2 linked regions of the Bombyx mori genome follow. The protein of the gene in region 2 binds, or shares a complex with, the protein of the main gene of each other region. Links are inferred from orthologs where the notes say so. Each region holds a gene or a part of one and is shown on either strand. Other genes may lie near its edges.

Evidence for each region.
Region 1: COP9 signalosome complex subunit 7b (region 2) and transcription factor-like protein share a complex: the UniProt entries of both Drosophila melanogaster proteins name them as parts of the CSN complex. The link is inferred for Bombyx mori from reciprocal best matches to the Drosophila melanogaster genes CSN7 and CSN6.

The regions. Positions count from the first base shown.
Region 1 is NC_085121.1:11,232,624-11,236,892, reverse strand, and holds the start of transcription factor-like protein, read right to left. Parts: upstream 2,801-4,269; 5' UTR 2,639-2,800; coding exon 2,395-2,638; intron 1,927-2,394; coding exon 1,795-1,926; intron 1,320-1,794; coding exon 1,168-1,319; intron 719-1,167; coding exon 553-718; intron 381-552; coding exon 187-380; intron 1-186. Other genes in the region: phosphatidate cytidylyltransferase, mitochondrial, read left to right, coding at 3,715-4,269. UniProt on the Drosophila melanogaster protein: Component of the COP9 signalosome complex (CSN), a complex involved in various cellular and developmental processes.
Region 2 is NC_085114.1:3,666,737-3,671,565, forward strand, and holds the start of COP9 signalosome complex subunit 7b, read right to left. Parts: upstream 3,019-4,829; 5' UTR 2,627-3,018; coding exon 2,432-2,626; intron 2,296-2,431; coding exon 2,043-2,295; intron 373-2,042; coding exon 152-372; intron 1-151. Other genes in the region: zinc finger protein 615, read left to right, coding at 3,917-4,042, 4,351-4,576. UniProt on the Drosophila melanogaster protein: Component of the COP9 signalosome complex (CSN), a complex involved in various cellular and developmental processes.

The sequences.
Region 1 (4,269 bases), on a different chromosome or scaffold from region 2:
ACCAACGCGACTATACCGGTGTTAAAATACCACAGGAAGGTACAAATTTTTCTAAGGAAACTGCGGTATGAGTAAGAGCTATGCTGTAAGAGTCGTTCGTGCACACATACACTGCACACAAATACTGTATACTACTCTCATTATCTATTAAGTGACAAATCGTCGGTAATATATAATCTTACTCACATTATAGAAATGTGTCCGGAACTGCTGTGAAGTCAACAGAGGTAATCTGTTGGCGAGAGCACGCGCCTCCCTTAGTAAAGCCGGTCGAGGCTGAAGTTTACCATCCCTTATAGCGCGTACTGTCGCAAGTACGGCCCGTACACGAGAAACTAACATTTTTATAGCTGATCTTTGTGCAGTCAGATGTTCGGCAACTAAAGGTAGAAAATGCATTAATTTATTACAATATCTACAGAAAATGTAATTGTTTTCATAATTCGTATTAATTTGCCAAGTGCTGGATTCAACTTATTCTATCAGAGTCTTAACAGTTTCAGAAAGTAGCATGTTTGATTGACTGCTTTTGATTTACAATTGAAAACTTACCTAAACTATTGAGAGCAGCTTCTCCAGATGAAACTCTGGCAACATGATCTACTCCAATTCTCTCAGCCTCTTCAGCGGCTAATGTATATGTTAAAGGTGCTAGTAGCATTGTGGCGCGACCATTAACCACATCAATTACTGATTCATACAAAACTACCGGTAATTGCTGTATAGAAAATATGTTTAAAGTTATTAAGTTTGTAGCTAAATGTTTGCTTAAGATTTATTATATTGTTATAGACTAATATGTTACAGAATTAAGAGCTCCTAAAGTCAAGAAGATTTAATGGAAGGGGATATGTACAATGAGCAAATTATTTAAGAATCACAGTGCCCATGATGACCAATTGACAATAATTTATCAAGCTTTTTAGCTTATTTGATAGCAGTAACATCATCAAACTATTTTTGTAAAAAAATATATCGATCATTGGCACCAAATTTTAATTGTTAAGTAAGACTAGCAGTATAAATAAGATTACACTTTGTTTTGTCTCTTCCATTCGCGTTCTGAACAGACTGTCAATATAAGAAGAGCCATAATGCTTTTCTCTTAAACACACATCTTATAACAAGGTTGTACATATATTTCACACCAAGTCTTTAAAAACTTACATCACCATTTCTGCCTGCCGGATTCAACATCAACATCACAGGACACTCATTAATGTCACAGATCTGTCTGTGAACTGCGATGTCACGTTCTGAGGGAGCATCTCCAGTTGTATACCATCCGAGGAAATCCATGTCAGAAAACACTTGTTTGACTGGAATCATTGAATTAATTTACTGAAGGAAGAAAATAAATTAAATATTGAGAGGTGTGTTTAGTTTATCAAGTGCCCATAATGGGTAAGATAGTTGTTTCCTTGTACCAAGAGATGAAACTCAGCTGTGATTACAATCTTGAGCCACCATGAAACAATTATTTATAGCATAGGTGGGTAATTTCCTGATATACCTCTCTAGGCCTAAGTAATCAAACAGCACCCGGTGGTACCTAAGCTTAGCTACCTATCTATGTTAATAGCAATAATACCTTTTGATAAATAATAAATAGGAGTTCCCTACAACTCAACCCACAAGGTGATCTATCTATTGAAATATCTCAGAAATCATTTCACTTCCATAAAAAATAAAACAATGTTTATAACATAGTTGTTCTACTTTATTTTGAGTAGATTTGTAAAATACTATATTTAATTATTTTATACTTTTTGTTAAATTAATTTCTATACTTACATTGTTCCTCTTTCATATTATAATAATCTCTATCTATAATAATGTCTCCATCAATCATACTGAACACTAATTCAAATGAATTCATTACTTCAATGTTGCGACCTTTTTGCTTCCCAATTAAAGCTCCAACAACTAAAAACCAAATTATTTTATTTAACTTATTATTTTCCTAAGTTATTAAGAATATTACATAAAAATGTTAATTAATAATAAATTTATCAATCAATAATAAGATTATGACTTTTTTCTTTTATCAATCAATAATAAGATTATGACTTTTTTCTAATTTTATTGTTGATTTGCAACAATTATTTCAATCTTCTTCTTCTTAGTCTGACATTCTTGTGAGTGGTCATGGTTAGGCTGACAATGTATATACAAAAGTATTTGTTAGGTTGCCCATGTTCCTGAGGATTGCCTTCCTGGCTATGCGCAGCAGGTAAGTAAATATTATAAAATGTTACAATTTTGTATTACTGCAGTTATAATATATATTGTATTCTTAAAAAAAGAGTGCAAGAGTGCATTTTAGTGACTAACGTGCGAAGAGAAATGATCAAGCATTTTTTCATATTTATAATACTTAGTCCTATAAATTACCTGTTTGAGGAAAGCCTTCCTGTGCCTTAAGTCGTGTCCAATGTTCTGAAACATTCATAATAACTAAAGGATGGAGAGAGACGGTCACCGAACCGGCTGTAGCAGTCGTAACTACTACACTCTTATTGCTGCCTGGTGTTGTAGGCGCCGGGGATGTTGGGTTAGGCACTTCAATCGGCGGACCTGAAGATGCACTCTCTACTTCCACTTCCATTTCGAAATCAATTCGATCAGCACTTGACATTTTAACTCTGGGATAAGAGAACTCAATGAACTGAAACTAGAGGACTATATAATGAGAAATAAATATCTGTATTGTCTCGATTATCGCAATCAATTTGTCGGTATTTGCAATTTAATATTTATGATTTGACAATAATATTTTCCTCTCTACACTTTGGTGATAATTATTTGTCGCGGTACGGTAATTTTTAATGCATTTCATGGCAGCATTGAACTGTCGTGCTATAAACAAAAGATGAGTTTTTCAAAGATTTTTTTTTTATTTTTGGTCATGCACAGTATACTCGTTCTATTCTATGATAAAATATCTATTCTCTGATGTTTGTCACAGTCCAAATTACTACATTTTAATGGAAGGTGTATCTCTGAGAGTCACTTTTTAACGGGAAAACGAGCGAGTTCGTGTTTCTTCTTTCTAAAATGAAATAGATCGCCGGACTGTCTTTTATCCAAAAAACATCTCCAAAACTAACGGTATTGACTTATCTTACTAACATTCCCTATCCTAGGGAATAGTAGCAGCTATTCTCATGCATATTCAGAGTTATTTTATGAACTTTCAACATTCTACTATTAAACTAAAAAAAATGGAAGATTTTGCAACGAACATAAAACTAATATTGAGCGACTAAAGATTTTCCTGGTTTTTCCCCAATCACCTCTCAATCCCTAATCACCCCACTTTACGGTTTTACATCAAGTAGGTAGGTATCATAAGTACTGATCTGTGTACCATAAAGTGTAACCCATAGATTAAGCACTTATGTGTAACCTAATGGACATTGGATAATAATGTGCATGTTTGGGTTCGGGGGCACATATTGGAGGCACTTTATTATCGTAGCAGATGATAGCTAGCACATTGATGGGAAGATATTATTCGAATATACAAAACGAAGACAAAGTTACTTCGAAAGTTTAATTCAACGTCAAAGATAACTATTTAATTGTAAATGTAACACAACAAAATCTAAATTCCCAACTAATTAACCATATTACATCAGTGCAACATCACAATCAAGTTTGAAGAATAGATTTGTGCTCTAAAGGTCAGCTGCTATTTCTTCTAATTTTATAATGGTATCTACCGCCGCTAAAACATTTGGCAGCATAATCAGAGATGTGTCACCGATTTACTATAGAATCCTCTCCAAATTTCCTCAAAACTTCACATTTTGCTTCGCATATGGCTCTGCTGTGAAACCACAAGTCGGAAATCAGAATAAACATAACATGATCGACCTCATATACTGCGTCGATAACTCTTATAGATGGCACGGATCTAACATTGAACAAAATCCATCGCATTATTCAGCACTTCGATTTCTAGGCAAAGGATTTGTTGCAAGATTCCAGGAGAATTGGGGGGCGAAAGTATATTTCAACACCCTTGTTGAATTAAAAGAAGAAAATGTGACAATCAAGTATGGTGTTGTTTCTCAAAAGGACTTAGTTGGTGATCTACTCGACTGGACTGACTTATACCTTGCGGGCCGTCTACACAAACCAGTAGAGATCATTAAACAAACCAACAGTTCTCAATTGCAAAGTGCTTTACAATCCAATCTACGCTCTGCAGTTCACACAGCGCTACTTATTCTACCAGAAACATTTTCTGAATATGACTTCTAT
Region 2 (4,829 bases):
TTTGAGCTTGATCAATAATAGTATTGTTGATCGAAGATTTTTATAAGAACTATATGATTTTTAGAAGGTCAAACATTGTATTTGATGATGATGTTTTTGTTTTAGGAATTGTTATATAATATACATGCACCTTAGATAATATAACACTCACCTTCTGTTCTATACCCTGCTGATGTCTGATAGCCTTCTGTTTCTGATGATTAGCTCTCTGTATGTGTTGATCTACAGAATTGAGTACTGCTTCACAAGCATTGCACCAGTCGGCCAGGACATCAGCAATGGAAGCTGCATCTTCAAGCCGCGCATCTCTGCCAAGGGCCACGTCCACTTCCACACGTTTACATTCCTGGTCCAACTTGCCGTGAATTATGTCTATGGAAGTATAGTATGTAAATTATTTCCAATTATCGTGCGAGTGGTCTATTGTAACAGTAAAATAGTTCAACATCATGTATGTATATTCAAATCGTCAAGGTATTCTACTCCTAATGAGTTTATACTGTATATCTATATATTGTTATATTGTGCATATTTAAAAAAATATCTTTTAACTAATAAGTACACTGCGGTTAATTTATTTCCTCATGTGATTCTTGTCCACTTCATGGTTATCTGGAATAGAATCCTCTTGACAATAAGACTGCCCATTCTACTTTTGTGTGATGTATGTTTTGTATTTATGTTTATATTGATGTAAAATAAAGAATACACACTATCTGTCTAATGAGGTTTTTATTGAACTTAATTTTATACAAGTAATAATTAAAAGGAATGCATTGTTAATTAGTTGCCATGGTCATAATGAGAAGTGCAAAAATGCTATTTTTAGAAAGTAATTGTTTATTGATGTTTGCTTGCTATATTCACATTCAGATTTATTTGTTTCCCTACAACTACTTACTACCACATGGAATAGATTGATCTCCCCTTCTACGAAGGTAAAAACAAAATAAAATAGTAAAAGAAAAATCAAAATAAATATATGCTTATATGGATAAATAAAAGGATGTTAAACTGTTTTCAGGGCATACAAACTCAAACAGGGAACATAACATTGACTTACTAAGCATAAGTACTTGTAATTATAAGGTAAACCAATAGTTATATTGTAAAACCTCAAATTGTAATTGAATTTTTTATGATAAAACTTTTTTTTTAATTAAGTAATTTTTTTATTGCTTAGATGGGTGGACGAGCTCACAGCCCACCTGGTGTTAAGTGGTTACTGGAGCCCATAGACATCTACAACGTAGACGCCACCCACCTTGAGATACAAGTTCTAAAGTTTCAGTATAGTTAAAACGGCTACCCCACCCTTCAAACCGAAACGCATTACTGCTTCACGGCAGAAATAGGCAGGGCGGTGGTAGATATCCGCGCGCACTCACAAGTGGTCCTACCACCAGTAATTACGCAAATTATAATTTTGCCGGGTTTGATTTTTATTACACTATGTTATTCTTTTACCGTGGAAATCAATCGTGAACATTTGTTGAGTACATATTTCATTAGAAAAATTGGTCCCGCCTGCGAGATTCGAACACCTTTGCATCGCTTCAACATGAATTAACCGGACGTCTTATCCTTTAGGCCACGACGACTTCATACCAACTTTATTCCACTAAGATGCATTAAATTATCTGAAGACATAATAGTAGGGCTCATGGCTCATGTCATTGTAGCATCAGTTTCCTATTTGTATTGGTAGCTAAATTCATTTAAGATTTAATGATTTTTTTTTATATGGACACTTTAGAAGTTATGCTTATTTAGTGTATATGTATTCTTTATCAATGCACATTTTATATATGTGGCTTTAATCTATATAAAACATGAACTAAATAAATTAGATACTACATCAAATTCGGCACTGAATTGTTTTCTCATATACACCACAAGAATAACTCGAAAAAGAAAAAAACAAGGTATAAAATGCATGTAGTCAAACTTGAATTTTAATACTGTTTTATGAATCAACAACTCTGACACTTTTTTTATTAGGGACTGTTTGTATATACACTATAGTAGGAAAATCAACTCACCTGCATAAATAGCTTCAATGATAAGATCTTCTAAATCTCTAACATTTTTAATATCCAATTCCTCAAGTAACACACTGTAAGGGATACATTTCTCTTGTGTTGCAAGTGTTGCAATGGTCAGATGCTGTAATTTCTTGCACTGGACTGTGGTTAATTCTAAATAGTCCGATTTGTTCTCAATGTAGTCCTTATATGTGCCATAGGCAAACAAATTAAGAGTTTTTAAATGAGTTGCATAAGGTCCACTCTCCAGCTGAAAAATACAATAAAATGAATTTTAACAAGAGCGCCAAATTGATTTCTACCCATAGAATTCGGACAGTTTCATACATTTAATGGTTAAAAATGTATTAGAATTAATTGATCGATATAAAGGTAAGTTTTCTAACCTCTTTAATATTTGGCATCTCTAATAGCTCGCCGAAAACATGCACTCCTGGAGCCTCCAGAACCTGTTTGATGAGTTCAGCGCACGCAGAACCTTTAGCTCCCTTTGCTAAAAGGACAAACTGTTCTAGAGGGTGATTGGAGGAAAATGATAACAATGAGGAAGGTTCATCTCGGTCCATTGACATCGGATTCATTTTGAATTTTAAGACGTCTATGTCTATTTCATAAACGGGAAATAGGTCAATTCTATATTGAATCTATATGTTAGGGAAAAAGTATCAAACTCAGATTTAAGGTTTAAACTGTTATATTTATGTACCTACCTAGGTAGGTAGGTATTTTATACTTTCTTTGGTAATTTTAAGTTGACAGTGACAGTTGATGACAGGCTGTTTCTACATTTATATTGCTAGCTGTTGATACTTTAATATTATTATTATTATACATAACGAACGGATGTATTTATTTGTAGGTTTAGTTTACTTCAAATTTGAAATCTATCATAAAATATGTATTCAATTTCCATAAAGAACATGATGGTGGCAGATTATACTTAAATCTATGAAAAGTCAGGTACTTGAGTTCTTGAAGAGCTTGTCTTAATTAGTAATATTGCAAAGAAGTCAGACTATGAGTGCATAAATTTATTACCTATGTATCAAGTAACTAAGATAAATTAAAAAATACCCCAAGAATATTGACATTTCATGTAAAGAATGTGGTGTAATTAAATCACGTAATTTTTGTTAGTTCTAAAGCGTTTAGGATGAAAAATTCAGCCAATTTAAATAGAAATTAATTCAAAAGTAGAACAGTATGCAGAGAAGTACATTTATTCATAATACCAAAAATCTTTTAGTGAAACTACAGCTTTGATTGATTAGTTATAGGGCTTAAAAAATAAACTAATTTCAAGAATTTTATAAAGTTTGTCTTTGACAAAAAAAAAACTAGAAATTTAAAAGTTTATGCTTCAGTTTTCAAATGACCATAAATAATAAAATGGCGTCAGGTTTTTTGTGTGTGCGATAAATTAATTGTTTTCATAAAAATCTGGATTTTCTCCAATTTTTTTTGACATACGAAAGTGTTTTTTATTTTATATGTAATTATGAAGCTTATAAATGCATATATGACTTCTAATAACGTACTATTTATTGTAAATAATGTGCGTGTCAATGTTCGTTGAAGCGTCGTTGTTCTGGGCCGCCTTTTATATTGGGTTGATTAAACTAATTTAGATGTCGTCTAAAGTTAAGATTCATCGTTATTTACACAGAACACCATCACAAGTTGTAAATTAGTGTTGTTTTCGCTTGATATTCGGCGTCGCTGTCAATGAGTGCGTTTTGCGTGTGTGGTTGTGAGGTCGTACATACATGTTCGCAATGATAAAACTGTCATGAGGACTGTTTACTATCAAATAGTGAATCTGTGTTAGTGCGTTTACATTTCTATGTAGTGAAGTTTATATTGTGGTGAAAATGTGTATGCCAACACCGAACAATGTTTCGGGTTTCGGTTATTCTTGGGGCTTTACGAGTTCCGCGGACCTTACCAAGGGCGATGTCGAAACTCCGAGCAGCCTCAGTTATTCGCTTGGGAGTACGGTAAGGTCTAAATAAAATAAATTAAATAACTGAAGCACTTTAGAGTAAACATTTATTGTGCACTTTAATTTCAAAGTGCATCCTCTCAAAGTTTTAACCATAAGCAAGATTGAATGAAATTAACAACAATCAGCTTTCACTTGAAGTAAATTTTCTAGTTATTTTAATATTTAGCAACAAAAAAAAGCTATTATGAAATTGTGTACTTATATGTGCTATTTTGTTTCAAAATAGGTTTCATTTCAGTAAAGACTTAAAATCATTTTATAAATAAAAACAAATAATCAACAATAAATAAAACATTTCAGGTGTCTCCAGAGACAACACTCACTGTTATGTCTCACAAGACACCGCAAGTCCAAGATAAAGTGGGTGCTGTTGCTGTGGCAGTATCCAACTCGGGGGCTCAAGTCACAAGGGTTGTCACAGCAGGAGCTCCGGTGACGGCCAGGAGAGCTATGTTTGTTCTGAATGAAGCTCCAACCCATACTATAAACAGGGTTTCACAACAAAACCAAACAGCGACAATACATAGTGGGTATTATTAACTGTTTTAAGGCTTACAATCGCTTACTAGTCAGCTTTTTGCTTATTTAGCATTAATTGCTTAAATTCAAATTAAATTTTAATTTTAAGCTTAAATTAGATAAATAAAGTTCTCTGTAAGTATTTAATACAAAATCTACTGACAGTTCTTATTTATCTATTCATACTGCACTCAGTTAAATTGACTCCTAATAACAAAATACTGATTTTATTAATGCAGATATTAGTTTTTTTCTTAGAA